Linked DNA regions of Notamacropus eugenii. The protein of the gene in region 1 purifies or fractionates together with the protein of each later gene. This does not show direct contact. Links are inferred from orthologs where the notes say so. Each region holds a gene or a part of one and is shown on either strand. Other genes may lie near its edges. The genes, in order: SLC7A11 and OTUD5.

Region 1 (7,904 bases):
CCACAAAGATAGAATACAATTGTGTCAGTAAAAATGATATGTTGGAACCACCACTGAGATAGACAGGCTGTAATAGAAAGAGAACTGCCCTTGGAGGCTGAGAGACCTGGCCTGAAATTCTTCCTCTAATATACTGCTGTGGTGACCCTGTGACCATGGTCAAGTCACTTAACTTCAGCATCTCAGACAAAGCCATGAGATCACAAGTGGCTGATTTGAATTGGTAGAGTTTCCCCAGCAAAAACTGCTTACAATGCAAAAGTCACAGTTCCAGACCAAAAGAAAAATAAATGAAACTAATGGTAAGGTAAAAGACTAGCTGGTAGGAAGAAGTAAGCAAGGAAGAGAAAGGAAACCTAACTCTTTATAAATTTGTCCTAGAAGACTCCACTCCTTGGTTTAATGGCAGAGCTATGGATCCAGTCAACTGGTTTTACATCTATGTAAATTTCCTTATAATGTAACTCGAGTTCTGAAGTTGAATAGAAAAATCATTGGAATGAGATATTTGAGAGTCCAGAAAAAATATGAATGAGTCAGGAAAACCCTAAGAAAATTGACTTAGCGTTTATTCTAAGACAGAATAACTGCTTTGTAGTGGTAAGGTCAGAACCTTCACAGGATCAAAGTCAAAGCTAGAAGGGACCTTAGAGATCATCTAGTGCAGGGGTGGGAAACCTGAGACCTCCAGGCCACATGTGGCCCTCTAGGTCCTCAAATGTGGCCCTTGGACTGAATCCAAACTTTACAGAATAAATCCCTTTAGTAAAACTGTAAAACTTAGACTCAGTCAAAAGGCTGGCCACCAAAGGACCTAGAAATCGATAGGTGGTCCAAGGCCACAGGTTCCCCACCCCCTGATCTAGTCTAACTCCCTTCTTTTAAAGATTAGGAAAACTGAGGCCCAAAGGAAGTCAAGTAGCTTCCCCAAGACCACATGCGTAGTACTAGGAGCCATGTTTTCTGACTCTACTTCCAAGTGATCTTTCTTCTGAATCTTCCGGAATCAGAATATACTCTCCTTGATCCTTAAACAAGCTTATTTAGGACTTACCTTGCTTAAAATGGGTAGATTTAGCTTTCTATTCCTGGTCAGATGATTAACTGGTACTGCCTCATGTACTGGACCAATACAGATGACACTGTATGGATCTGACACTTAATTAAAATTTGGAACAATTTCATTGAGTTTCACTAAGGTAATCTTGTCACCAAACTCTTTGGAACAACAGATGGACACAGGGGAAGAAAATGAGGCTTGGGTATACCCCTTAGACTCCCATCCAACCTAGCTCATCATTTAGGCCACAGATAACTGTAGGGGCCTGACATTTAACAAAAACTCTGAATGATACTTTTTTTTGTTTGAGTCTTGAGTAGGTATCTTTTGGTGTTGTCCATTATTCTTTAAATAGGCTTTTAATGCAGCCATCTGAATTGGGGGAGGAAGCTTCTTTTCCAGGTTCATTAAGTTTCTCTGAGGACATCTTATCAAACTTTAGGACGTCAACAAACTGGCACAAGTGAAAAAAATGACTGAATAAACTGCTTAGACCCGCACCCAACCAAGCTCAATATTTAAGCAGAAGATAATTGAGGTGGGAGGAGGTTGGATATGAAAAGTTATAACATACTAATCATATCCTTGACTGATGCAAGGGCAGAATTCCTCATGGTATGTCCTGCCATATCTTTCTACAGTTCAGTGGCTCACACGGAAAAGTCAGGCCCATGAAGGTGGGGTGTGTGTCTGTGTGTATGTCTGTTTGTGTGTCTGTGTTAGTGTTTTAAGGAAAAGCACTGCCTTACCATTTGTTTCACCAATAAGAAGTCAGGAAAACTGTTGGACAACTCAGCACTGAATGTAACTAGGCCAACCAGATTTTACAATTCACAGAGGCTTCAGGGGCTCAGCCCTAGCATTGCCCAGACAAGCACAAATGTCCAGTGCTTGCCTTTTTATAGGCAATAAAAATGAGTGCTTATTTCCATCACTATAAAGAAATGAAAAGATTTTCTCTTCATCAGGAAAGGGAAATAAAGGAGGTTGGGGAAGGAAAAGAGGGGACTATTCAAGTCATCCAGAAACTCCTAGATGACTTGAATGATTTCTCCTCATTACCACTCTCCTCTACTTCTACTCTAATTCTACTAGCAGACCAGCCACTCACCTCCCAAATCAGCATGCCAAGCTGCATGCCCAGTAGCAGCCTCCCACACACATACCCTCAAGGGACTCCAATTTTAAACATAAACTCACCAAACAGAGACACGAGCCCACAGACCGTCCAGACGATCAGAGACATGCCTACGGTGCCCGTGTTTTGGAGAACTCCTTTGGGGGAGATGAAGATGCCAGCCCCGATGATAGTGCCAATGATGATGGAGATGCCCCTCAGCAGCGTGATTTTTTTCTTCAGCACCATCTTAGCCTGCTCGGGGGCCTCTTTGCTGCCCCTGGAGGTCAAGTGACCTTGAGCATCCCCCTGGAGGTAGTCTCCATTGGAAATGGAGGGCATCACTGGCTTCTTGACCATAGTGGGATTCTGCCAAACTCAAGGGGAAAAATAAAAAGCAAAAAGCAAAAAATACAGAAAAAGAGAGAAAGACGAGAAGAAGGAAGGAGAGGAAAAGAAGAAAGATGAGGAGGAAGAGGAGGACCAGGAGAACGAGAAAGGCGAGAAGCAGGAGGAGAAAAACTTTGAAAACAAGGTCTGGTCTCCCTGATCAGACTGAGTTCGAACTGTTTTCCTGTCCTGGTAGCCTTTCACGCTGCTCTAGGGTTCACAGGTATGGACCTTCAAAAGGTGTGTTTTACGCTTCCCGCCTCCCTAATGCCTCCTCCAGAGCACCTGTGCCTTTCCCATGGCAGCCCGGACCCTTCCGTTCTGCCCCTCGCTGCTGCTGCTACTGCCCTGTCATTAGAACCTAGCTCAGCTCCCTCCAGCGCCCGTATTTAAGCTTCTGTCACACCAACTCACTCCAGCTCAGTGATGATGCAAATTCTCCAGGTTTGCATCAGCCACAGGAGAAGGCTTCAGCATTACTCAGCTCTTTTTTTTCTCCTTTCCCCAAACAGTGGCAGCGTGTAGCCCAACTGACCTGCGCTTTGCAGAGAACAAAGCCTTCACTTAAAAGGCCTCAGGAGCCAATCCAGAGGGAGGAAACCCACAGAGACCCTCCCAGAGGTGGAGAGTAACACTCAGGGAGGCCCCAAGGCTCCTCAAACAGAAAGAAAATGAAACACCAAACAGGAAACATCTACTTCATTTTTATCTGGGATCGCCACCCCTCCCTTCCCCATGCACACGCACGCACCCACACCTCTTTCATGAAGCAGCCAAAAGTTGAAGGGAACATCAAGCTGCATTAGTCACCCAAAGTGCGACCCCCCATGCACACCTTTTTTTTACTTCCTTAAAAAAAAAAAAAAGAAAGAAAAGAAAACTTTTGGTTGCCTAGCAACATAAGCAAATCTATCTTGTAGGTGGGGAGAGAGAGAGACAGAGAGAGAGAGGGAGAGAGGGAGAGAGAGTGAGAGGGAGAGAGGGAGAGAGAGAGTTTTTCCGCACCTTCTTCTTCTTGAAGGGGATTGTGGCTCATACTGAGGGAAGGGAGGGATTTTTTCATTTTGCTCTGACAATACACTTACATTTTCGCCTTGCGAAGGTGTGATCCACGAGAATATGACTACGTTTAAAAACCACAGTTACCCCAACGAGAATCATTCTCAGATTTCCAAGTTACTTGGTGATTTCCTAAAGAGAATTATTTTTGCTGAAATTGACATCCCTCAGGGCATTTTTGTTCCCTGAAGTTAGTTGTAGAGGCTGCAAAGACTACTGCTTTGTGGTTGTTCAGTCATTTCAGTCCTGTCAGAATCTTCCCGATCCTATTTGGGGTTTTCTTGGAAAAGACCTTGGAGTGGCTTGCCATTTCCTTCTCCATCTCATTATACAGATAAGAAAATTGAGGGGGGAAAAGAGACTTAGGTTCAAGTTTAGGCTGCTGCATAAAATGTTATTACCTTAAGCAAATCAACTCACTGCTCAGTTGTAGACTTTCCTTAGTGGAAGGTGTTTGGAATTCTCTATATCCATTGTATCCTTTTGGGTTTTGCAATACTCCTCTGAGATCAGAACTACAAGTATTTTCAGTCCCATTTCACAGATGAGAAAACTTTCCAAGAGGGGTACCAACTTGCCCACAACTACTAAGTGTATTGTGAGGAGGTCAGGGTGGAGAAAGTTATAATCAGATTTTCAGAATTTGCTTTGATTTAAAAAAAAAAAATTCACACGGAAATGACAGGGTACAAGCCCAAGCTGAGATCTTTGTCTCTTGGCCCAGAGGAGTTTTGGTCCCATTTGTCTAGGGGACCCTGGAGGGCCTCACCCCGAGGGCTCCTTGAATTCCTCATATTTGATCTGGCATTCTCTGAGGACCATAAGTTTTTCATTATCACCATGCCCAGATCTCTGTTTTACTCTCCACCTTTATCCTATCAAAATCCTATTCTCCAGGCTACTTTGTACTCCCATCAAGATCCTCTAGATTTAATGTTTAGTCACCCCAGGGTACTGGTCACTCCCATCAAGATCCTGCCTAGATTTGACCTCTATTCTGGTCATTCCGATCAAGATCATACCTCTAGACATTCCAGGCTGACCACCCCAATCAGGACCATCCCTGGAACCCCCAGACTACTAGACATCTCCAGATTCCTCCCATAGTCTTTCTGTATATAGGCTCCATCTTGCCTCCATGAAGGCACTCAGATTCAATCTAAATCAGGATCAATCTAGCTCAGATTGTATACAGCATTACAAATGGTTAGACTCCTTAACAGTCAACCTAATATGGTGAATCTTCAATAAATTTTATTTTACTTTGACTGAAAGAAAGCTTAAGTTGAATTCATTCGACAGGACCCAGTGTATCGGTATTTTGGGGTCCCCGGCACCCTGAATTTCAACAGAAAGAAACATTAAAAAGTGGCAAGGTCTTTCAAGCCCTCTATCTCCCTCTACCAACAAACAGCCTCTGAAACTGGTGCCAAGCTTGTAGGTCAGTGATTGGCTGCTGTTACCTGTGGTTTGGGATTCCAGAATGGGAAGAAGTTATTATCATCCCTCTGCTCTTATCACTTAACCAGCTTGAGGAGCTGTCAGACAGGTGTGAAGGTCAGGGGAGAAGTGAGACGGCTGGAGAAAGCCAAGCAATAGTCCTAGAACACTCAGCCCCTCTTCTGTCCAGTTATCCTCTGGAGTGTTACATAGAGATGCCCAAGAGAGTTCCATAGGCTCAGATTACTTAGAACTGCAGGGGACTATCTCAGTAACAACAAATGACTATATAACTTTTCATAAACACTTTTAAAAGATTTGCAAAAACACCAAAGTCTTACAGAAATTATTTCCTTTGGATCTTGCAATAACCAGTTGAGCTCAGAACTATGAGTATCATTAGCCCCATTTCACTAAAGGGGAAACTGAGTTTCCAAGAGGGGGACTGACTTGCCCAAGGTAATCCAGTTACTAAGTGCCACAAGCAGGATTCAAACCCTAGTCTTTCAGAGTCCAGGCCCAATATACTATTCACCAGTCAATGTAAGAATTGAAATGGATCTCATCTGGTCAACCCATACCAGTACAAGAATTTCCTCTTTATCATACCTAAAATGTTATCATTCAGCTTCTTCTTGAAGGCCTCCAGTGATGGAGAACCCACCACTCTTGAGGTGACCTATCACATTTTTAGATAGTTCTGAATTTTAGGAAGATCTTTTTCATATAGAGTATGTTGTCCAAACCCCTCCTTTAATAATAATGATAACAACGTTTATAAAGTACTTGCTCTGTATGTTCCAGGCACTGTTGCTAAGCCCTTTACAATGATTCTTTCATCTGATCCTCACAATAACCCTGGAAGGTAGATGCTATGATTATCCTCATTTTACAGATAAGGAAACTGAGGCAGGCAGAAGTTAAGTGACTTGCCCAGGGTCACAACTAGCAAGTGTTTGAGGTCAGATTTTGAACTCAGATCTTCCTGAGTCCAGAGTCAGAGCTCTATCCACTGTTCCACCTAGTTGACTCCACATTACAGATGTGGAAACTGAGTTTCAGAGAGAGATAGTAGCCAAGGTGTTGAACATTCAGCACCAGAGTCAGTATTCAAATGCAGATCATCTCAGTCTAAACCCCATTCCCTTTTCTCTATAAGGAAAAGCCTCTGTTTTCCTTACGTAGCCCAGGAATTAGTTCAGGTTTTCATTGCTTCCATACTTTGCAAACTCTTCTGGCCTAAATTCCTTTGAGAAGATTAATTCGTCATTAATATATGGACCATCAACCATCAATCAACGTCAAAAATACAACAGCAAAACCTGGCATTTTTTTAAAACTCTAAGGCTTGGAAATCTCTGCATCTCAGATGCAAGAATCAAGAATGTTGGATAAATGCTGCAAAGAGGTAATTTAGGCTTGATATCAGCAAAGAACAAACAAACCCAACTTCTCAACAATTAGAGCTATACAAGAGGAAAATGGGCAAGTGAGGACAAATGAATGTCCACTAAAACAGAACTTTAGACAAAGATTCTAATGGCAGTCGTCTACCATGACTCCTTCCACCCACCTACAAAATCAGACTATAAGTGTTACTCCTCCAGGTTTCATGCACTTAACACAGTGCCTGGTATGTAAGAGGGGATCAACAAATGTTTATCAATTGACAGAAAAGGAAGAATCCTGGTGTGGAAACTGAGCAACCATAATTAGGGTATAGAGATTGGGGCTCTATCCTATGTAAATGTACTTCCTTCCTGGTGTAGTCTGGAAACTGGCACCCTCATATCTAGTGAATGGATGGATGGATGGATGGATGAATGAACTAACGAACGAACGAACGAACGAATGAATGAATGAATGAAAAAAGACCTTACGAAGAACTCACTATGTGAAAAGCACTATGCCAAGTGCTGGACATATGAATAGTAACGTAATACAGTCCCTACTTTCAAGGAGCTCACATTGTAATGGGGGAGACAACACATATGGAAAGTTTCACCTACAAGTATAATGGAAAGCTGCCTCATCTTCTTCTGCCAGACTGCACTATGTGGCACAATTCCACAGGTTAATGGGAGTAATAGAAGAGGAATTTGGAAATTTTTCAAAAATATGTTTTGGAATGTTGAGATTGACATAGGAAGAGGAATCCTCTTCCTCAGTGGAAATGGACCAGATTTTGAGTAATCTGACATTGATATAAAACAGCAATGAGTCTTATTGAGGTATCAGTGATGGCTATTTTCAAATATTGGTGGAGTTTCATAGAACCAGAAGAAGGTCCGTTTTGTTCTATACTTTTCATCCCTGCTTTGAATACTTGCCTAGGCAAGCCAATTAATTTCTATGAACCATTTTTTTATCTATAAAATATATATTATGCTGTTTGGAAAATACTATCTTGAAGGTTTGTCATAAGGTTTATATCATATAACAGTATTCAAATGCTTTGGAAAATTTAAACATGCTATATAAATGTCCAGGTGGTGGTAGCAGCAATTCTTTTTTAGGGATTACAAGTTATCTCAGGTGGGACCTCTCAGGGTAGTAGCCCTTAATGGGGATTCCTTCAGCCTTCAACTTTGCATTTTCTTAATTTTTTTTTTTACTTCTTTAGATAATATCCAAAGTGCTTTAAAAACCTTAGCACACTGTATTATTACATTATTATGATGATGATAATTAGATGGGGCAGTGAATAAAGTGCCCAGCCTAAAGTCAAGAAGACTCAGGAAATCCTGCCTCAGACGTTTAATAGCTGTGCGACCCTGGGCAAGTCACTTAACCCTGTTTGCCTCAGCTTCCTCATCTATAAAATGAGCTGAAAAGGAA
Region 2 (7,233 bases), on another chromosome or scaffold:
GCTGTGTGTGGGTGCTGGGCATGTGGTATGACAGCCACAGACAAGTGTCTTGGCCCTGCATTGCTGCTTAGCAAAGAGGAGAGCCATGTAGGCCCTGGGCACAGCAGTCCAAGTGGGCAAGCCAACTTCTTTCCCCCGTGGGGGTACTTTTGGTGAAGTGAGAGGGTAGGGGGCACAGACATGTACACTGGCCGGTGTGAAGCATCGCCCTCCCCCTACACCCTGCTGACACCTGGTATCTGGCACAAGAAAAAAAAAAGTCCAGTGTCCCCAGAAGTCGTTGGTTGGGCTCTGGGCCAGGCCTGGACGTGGGCGAAGGGCACCAAGAGCAGTTAGCTTCAGGGTACTTGCCCCCCCCCCCCCTTTCCTTTGCCCACAGTGGCCTTGCAGGCAGTGAAGGTGAGAAGCCCACTCGGGAGGCCGGAAGCAGTCCTTGCTAGGTGACCAGAACTTGCTCAGGGAGGGAGAATGGAACAGAGAATCCAAGTTGGGGAGGGGTGCTTCTCCAACAAGGCAAATGGTTCCTCTTAGTCCCTGGAGCTCCTCTCCTGCCTTTCTTCTTACATCCTTGTACCCCTCTGCCACCCCACACCCAAAGGCCAGGCAGCAAACTTGGGCCCAGTCCTGACCCAGGACAAAAGCCCCCACAGGGAAGGAGCAAGCAGTTACAAAGCACCTACTAAGTACCAAGCGCTCTGGAGACCAGAGGATCTTCAGAATCATTCTAGGAGGTAGATATTATTATCATCCCCATTTTACAGAGAAACTGAGACGGACACAAGTCCAGCACAAAAGAAGTCTTGCCTGAATCATCTGATGCTGGATTCTAGTTTTTTGGGTCTTGTGCTCTGTGCACTGGACCAGTTACAACTAAAAGGGGGCCCCAACTCCTCCGTTCCCCCAAAGAAGTAGCTCAGGAAAGAAAAGTTTCCTCAAATTCAGCTGACAAGTAGAAATCCTGGGCCTCAGGGCACTCCCAGTGGAGCCTCTCTCTTCTTAAACACCTTAGTCCCCCCCTCCCCCTTCTCAGTCCCCCAACAGAAAGGAGATGCACCAGCTCTCTCCCAAGATATCTTGGCCAGCTGTGCTGAAGGTGCGCATTTTAGGGTTGCCCCAACTTGCTGGTCAGCAGGTCCTTGGGGCCCCCCATGGCCTTCTCCAGCATGCAAATGTTCACCTGAAGGCCTGGCCATCCATATGCATGGGAGTCAGGCTTCCTTAAGTCTGGGTTCTTGGCAGGAGAGACTCAAAGCAGCTCCCGGACTATGGAAGGTTTCTCCAGGAGTACTAGCTAAGAATTCTGGAGACTTTAAAGAGCTGGGCAAGGCCACAGAGGCACTAACAGGACTCGGAGCCAGGTCACCCTGACATCTGCTTCATCCTCATCTCTCAGACAAGGAGTGCACTGGAAATGGAAGAACAGAGTTCTGCCAGCCAGTCCTGTCCTCAGGAGCCTCCAAAATAGTGGAGAAGATACAGGACAGCACCTATGCCCATCGCTGAGGTCCAGAAGGACTACAGAGACCCAGTAGCCTCCAGCCACCATTCTCCCCTTTCCCTGCTTGGCCTGAAGAATCATGGGAAGAGAAGGGGAACCAGGAAGGAATAGGGGAAGGTAGGTAGGCAGGAAAAGGTCCTGGAGAAAGAGGAAGAAAAGAGGAGCACTTTTGGGGAGAAAAATTACAAAAGAAAGCAGAAACAGGGCTCCATGGGGGAACGAGAAGGAAAGATGGGGTAAGAAAAGCGAGGGTGGGGGGATCAGAAATAGAATAAAAGCAGGGGGGTCTCCAGGGATTGGGGGGCATGCCCCAAGGAGTAAGAAAATCAAGGGGGGGGCAAAGGAAAGAGGCAAGAAAAGCAGCAACGGGGGGCTGGGGATCAAGAAAATGGGGTGAGGGCAGGATAGGGCAAAGGGTGAAAAAAGCTGGGGGGGGAACCAAGAATGAATAAGAGCAGGGGGGCAAGGACGGAATCAGAAAAGCCAGGAGACTCTAGAATGGGGGGGTAAGGGATTAAAAATCAGAGGGCTGGGGCCTAGGAAAGAAAGGGTAAAATTCGAAAAGCGGGGGGAAAGGGGAGCGCAGGGAAGTAACAAGGAATCCGAAAAGGCCCGAGGTGGGGGGGGGGGGGCAGGCATGGCGTAAGAAGGGAGCAGAGGTGGCCCGAGAAGAAAAGATGGAGCGAGCCAAGACCCGGAAGCAGGACCGAGACGGTGGGGGGGGGCGGGGGGGGGGGCGCTTGGGCCTCATAAACTCCCCACCGGATCGAACAAAGAGGAGAGGGCCGGGCAAACGATCGAAGACGCGGGGGCCCCTCCCCGGGCCATACCTGCTCCACCGTGGCCGGGTCCATAGCCTCCACCCGGGCCGCCGCCGTGTCGTACTCGTCCTCGCTGTTGTAGCCCGCGCCGCCTTCGTCCCGCTCGGGGCTGCCCCCCGCGCCCGAGCCCACGCCGCCGACGCCACCGCCCGGAGGCCCGCCGGGGTTGCCGCAGGGGCCTGCCTGCTGCCGCCGCCTCTTGCTGTGGCCCGGGCCCGAGCAGCAGCCGCCGCCGGGGCCGCCGCCGGGGCCGCCCACGGCGCCCAGGCCCAGCCCCAGGCCGAGAGCGTCGGCGGCCCCGGCTGAGGCCGGCCCCCCGGGGCCCGGGGGCGGCGGCGAGGCCTGCGGCCGGGAAGCCGCGGAGCCCGCGCCCGAGGCCCATCGCGCCAGCGGCGGCGGCGAGGCACGCGAGCGGCCGCCCGAAGACGGCCCGGCGCCCGGAACGCCCTCGCCACCGCCCGGGCCGCCGGGTCCACCGCCGCCCGGGCCGCCGGGCCCGCCGCCAGGCTCGCCGTCCGGGCCGGAGTCGGCGTCCGAGCCGGCGGGCGGCGGCCCGGGCGGCGGCGGCGGCTTCTTCTTGGGGAGGATGGTCATGGCGCCGGCGGGCGCACGCTCGGCCTGGGCCGGAGCTTGCGGCTCAGCGGCTCCGGCTCCGACGCCCCCTCAGGGCCGCCGGGGCCGGGCCGGAGCCAGGCCGGGCCGGGGGCCGGGGGCTGGGGAGCCGACGGGCCCCGCGGAGCTGTAGCGGCGAACGGGCCCCCTCCTCTTCCTGGCCGCCGCTGCCTGGGCCGGGAGCGGAAGGAACTGGAGGCGGCGGCGGGAAAGGCAGGGCACGGAAGGGAAGGAAAGGAAAGGAAGGGCAAGGCCAGGCGAGCGGAGGCCGGAAAAGAGCCGGCGGACCCCGGGAAACTGAAGGGAGAAGGGGCGGAGCGAGGGCCCTAGGACCCGGATGAGGAGGGGCGGGGCCCGGCGCAGGCCCCGGATGGGGAGGGGGCAGAGGCGAGGCGAGGCGAGCCCAAGGGGAGGGGGCTACCCGGGGAGCGAACCCTGGCAAGGGTAAGGCCCTGTCCGCTGCGTGCCGCGAGCTGAGCGCGCGAGTCGGGGACCGACTGGTCGGCACAAGAGGCTAAGGAGGGGGGCGGGGCGCGAGCCCCGCAACCGCCGCTGGCTTTTCCTCTTCCTCTCACTCCCGACTCCCGGGGCTGCAGGCCCCGCCCCGCTCCACCAGGTGACTGACAAAAACAAACACCCCGACGCGGCGGGCCAGCCCCCGCGGGGCGCGCAGACGCACTTGACCGCGGAGGAGAGCCTGGCCCCCTCCCTTTCCACTCTGCCCCGCCCCCGTCGAGGATGGCGGGCAGTGTACCCGGAGGGGTGAGCTAAGTCCGGACCTCGTGTTCCCGTCTCGGAGAGCGGCGGAGGGCACGAAGGCCTTTGCGACTTCCCCGGCCGAGGGCCTGAGAGAAGGCGCAGTGGGAGGAAAGAGCAATCGCTCCACGGGCGCCTGCTCCTCCTCGTTTGGCGACTTGCCACAGCGCGTCTCCTACGAGCCCCCGCGCCGTCACTTCCGCCCCATGCCGCCGCCCTTCCCCTCCTGTCAATCACCCCAGCCCTCCTCCCCTTTCCCCCCTCCCCGCCAATCTCCCCCGCCGAGACGCGCGGGCCGGGGCATTCGGCTCTCCTAACCCTCTCATTGCTCAACCTTGGCTGTCAGTCAAACGAGAAACTCGCCCCGCCTCCGCCCGTTCCCCTTCCTCCATCCCATGCGCGCACAGCCATCTTTGGCATTCCGCGGTCCATGCTGCCGCCTACTGGTAGCCGAGGTCTCTGTCCTGCGACCTGGCCCGTCCTCACCCCCGCCCCACCTCGCACTCCGGGGACTGCGGGCTTTTCTCTTGGTCCATATCCCCTCCCCACCCGAAATGCTGCCTCGGCCACCATGATGTTAATACCCGCTCCCTTCAGGTCGGACTGGGCGCCTACCCCATCTTGGGTGCCAGTCAGCCTTGACTTTGCTTTGGTGGCCAGAACTTCCCTCCGCGTCCCCCTTGAAAAGCTCAGGCACCTCTGGGGGTTCACAAAACCACCCTCATTTCCTCGCCGAACTTTCTACAGTTGGCTCCGCCTCCCAGACCTCTCTCTGGGTGGATCAGCAAGGACATTTCGGTTCGTGCTTTCCCACCATCCCCTGGGGCAGGCTAGGTAGCCCACGCTGGAATGGCAGGGGAAGCAGAGATCAGACCCATCTCCCAGATAACCAAGTTGAGACCCAGATTGGGAAAGAAGGTGGTTGGTGGAACCCAACTCAAGTCCTTTCTGATGTCACCTCCAGTTCAGCACCCCGTATTGCTCCAACCCCCACCCCCCCATCCCCCACTTGTGGGCCAAGGTCTCCTTTGGTTTGTTGTGTGGGTTTTTATTGGTTTAAACTGCATCCAGTAGGGCACTGGCTTCAAGCATGGGGCAGGTGGGAAAACCTGAGACGTGCCAGGAGAGAGGCAAGCAGGTAGGCAGGCAGAGAAGCCCAGCTGATGGAGGGGATCTAGAAGGGAAACTGAGGCAGGCTCTAAGAGCTCTGCAGCTACTGAGGAGAGACCCTAAAGCACCTCCTCCTCCTGGCCTGCTGCCCTTAGTTATCTCACAAGAATTCAGCTGGATCTCAAGGGCATCAAACAGCTAGGCTGAGAGCTATTGCTTCCTATGTCATTGGGGGGGTCACCAGAAGGTCAGATGTTTGGGAGCTGAGCCCCTGCAGGTGCCTTTCTGCTCTTCTCTCCATACTGAGGATGAGATGAGGAGGTAGGGGGAGACTCCCCCTCACTGTCCCACTCAGTCACCTGTCCTCCAGATGGAGAAGGGAAATCTCTCTGGACATTCACCAAGGACACAGCAGTCTGGTAACATTGCCCAGGGTGAAGCTCTGAGGAGACAGCTGAGGAGGAGGGGCAGGAGACAGAGACCACATCTCTCAGTCAGCCTCTGCTAGCCTACATGGTGATATCCTCCAGATGTGCTAAGCAAGCACACTTGCCCCTCCCAAGATACCTGGGTCCACCTGCCACCATTTCAGCAGGTGAAAGATCCCAGAGACAAAGGATGGAGAACATATAGGCCAAGACCTGAATCCACCCTGACAACCAGGTTCCTTTCCTGGTCTGTGACAGGTCCCAAGAATAGGACTCACCCTCTGGCTTCCCAGCTACTGATGTCCATGTCTCTAGAGAACAGAGAAGAGGGGACACGAGCGGAGCTTTGGTTCTCCATTCCTCCCCCCCCCACACACACACATACATACTCCATTGCACTACAAGATTGTCCTGTTCAGGGGCAGTGGAGATCACAGGGGCTGAGATGCCGCCCCCCCCCCCAGTGTGCCCCTCATCTTCCTCACACTTTGCCCCATCCAAATATGGCTTTGAAAACAAAACAGGGAGACACCCAAGGTGGGGAACCAATGCCCCAAAGGAGGGGTGAAGCCCCCTCAATCACAGGGAGGAGATTTTGACAGTGTTGTGAGGAATATCAGAAGGGCCCAGGCTGGAGTTTTGGACAGCCCCCCTGTTACTGCTGCTGCCCCCAGAGGGTCTTCCAGGCCCCTTCCCACTGTCACTGGCAGGCGAATGTGGTTGGCTCTCATCTGGGGTGTTTGCTGGGGGGGTGGGGATGCTGATGATGGCTGCCACCAGGTCCTGACTGTCACAATTCAGAGTCAGGCTGTCATGAGTCTTGGCATTGAGGCTGGCTCGGCTGGTGGATGGAAGCAGAAAGGGAGAGAGGGTCTTGGGGTAGGATCCAAGATCCACCACCTTGGGTGAGGCAGTCTAACCCATAAGCCTCAATTTCCTTATCCATAAAATGGGAGACTGAATGATAACTGAGATTCCTTCCAGGGTAAATGTCTTGAGTCCCTGGGCTGTGAAAGGGCGCGCCATTGCACGCTGCCCTCTAAAATCTTATCTTAGTGGGATTGCATTCAGCTTTATCTGCACCTGTGGCACCTAGGGCCCCCTACCCAAATCTTCGCTTCCTGGCCCCAAGTAATGGAGGCCACATTACCTCTGGGGTCCTGGGCTATGGTGCCCAGCGAGAGTGTCCAGCTCCTGCATACTGCCTCGGCTGACAGAGGCAGTGGAGTTGGCCAAGCGAATGGCCCGGCGCTGCTTGGTCCGTCGGGGGCAGCAGGAAGAGATCAGACTGCTAGTCCGAGCGCTGGTTCCCATGACAGCCTGGGAAGACACAGAGGTGCTGCGGCTGGTGCGGCCACCCAGGGAAATGACTCCCAGTGCTTCACTGAAGGTAGACTCATCTGTGAACTCATGTGACTGGGGGGAGAGAAGAGACGTAGAGAGAGAGAGAGAGAGAGAGAGAGAGAGAGAGAGAGAGAGAGAGAGAGAGAGAGAGAGGAGAGTTAGCATCAGGGGGTATTTAGAGCCTTAGGGGAACAAGCAATGGCAGGCAGGACCCAAAGGAGGAGGGAGCACAGACAGGGAGGCCAAGAGCCTGAGCAGGGCACAAAGAAAGGACTCAGGATTCCAGAGATGGCTTTTGGGCAATGGGAAGGGGTCAGCAGGGAGACAGAGAGAGAAGGATCTCACTGTGGTCTTCTCCAGACAGTGCAAAAGATGATGGTGCTGCTGTTCAAAAGCTGAGCGGCTTCGTGTGCTCAGTGCTGGCTGTTCGGCCCCATCTTGGTCCTAGGGCGCACAGGCAGAGCATCAGGTGAGCCACCTCAGCAGCAAAGCCCTATTCCTTGCCCCCTCCCCTGGCCAGCTTTCAGAGCCCTGTGCCCAGGGCGGCACCCCACCTCCAGGCCCCTGCTGCGCTTGTACTGAAGGAAGGCTGTCGTGGTCCCACTCTTGGCCATCCGGATTCTTGCCAGCCGCACCTTCTGCTGTGCCCGGCGCTTGTCGGCAC

What was found.
Region 2: the proteins of SLC7A11 (region 1) and OTUD5 purify together in Homo sapiens (affinity purification with western blotting; 3 studies listed by BioGRID, with this or other methods). This does not show direct contact. The link is inferred for Notamacropus eugenii from reciprocal best matches to the Homo sapiens genes SLC7A11 and OTUD5.

The regions. Positions count from the first base shown.
Region 1 is NC_092877.1:134,703,155-134,711,058, forward strand, and holds the start of SLC7A11 (cystine/glutamate transporter), read right to left. Parts: upstream 3,107-7,904; 5' UTR 2,982-3,106; intron 2,547-2,981; 5' UTR 2,538-2,546; coding exon 2,261-2,537; intron 1-2,260. UniProt on the Homo sapiens protein: Heterodimer with SLC3A2, that functions as an antiporter by mediating the exchange of extracellular anionic L-cystine and intracellular L-glutamate across the cellular plasma membrane.
Region 2 is NC_092879.1:102,138,438-102,145,670, forward strand, and holds the start of OTUD5 (OTU domain-containing protein 5), read right to left. Parts: upstream 3,046-7,233; 5' UTR 2,914-3,045; coding exon 2,329-2,913; intron 1-2,328. Other genes in the region: A-type voltage-gated potassium channel KCND1, read right to left, coding at 5,805-6,066, 6,376-6,641, 6,915-7,013, 7,124-7,233. UniProt on the Homo sapiens protein: Deubiquitinating enzyme that functions as a negative regulator of the innate immune system. Has peptidase activity towards 'Lys-48'- and 'Lys-63'-linked polyubiquitin chains. Can also cleave 'Lys-11'-linked ubiquitin chains (in vitro).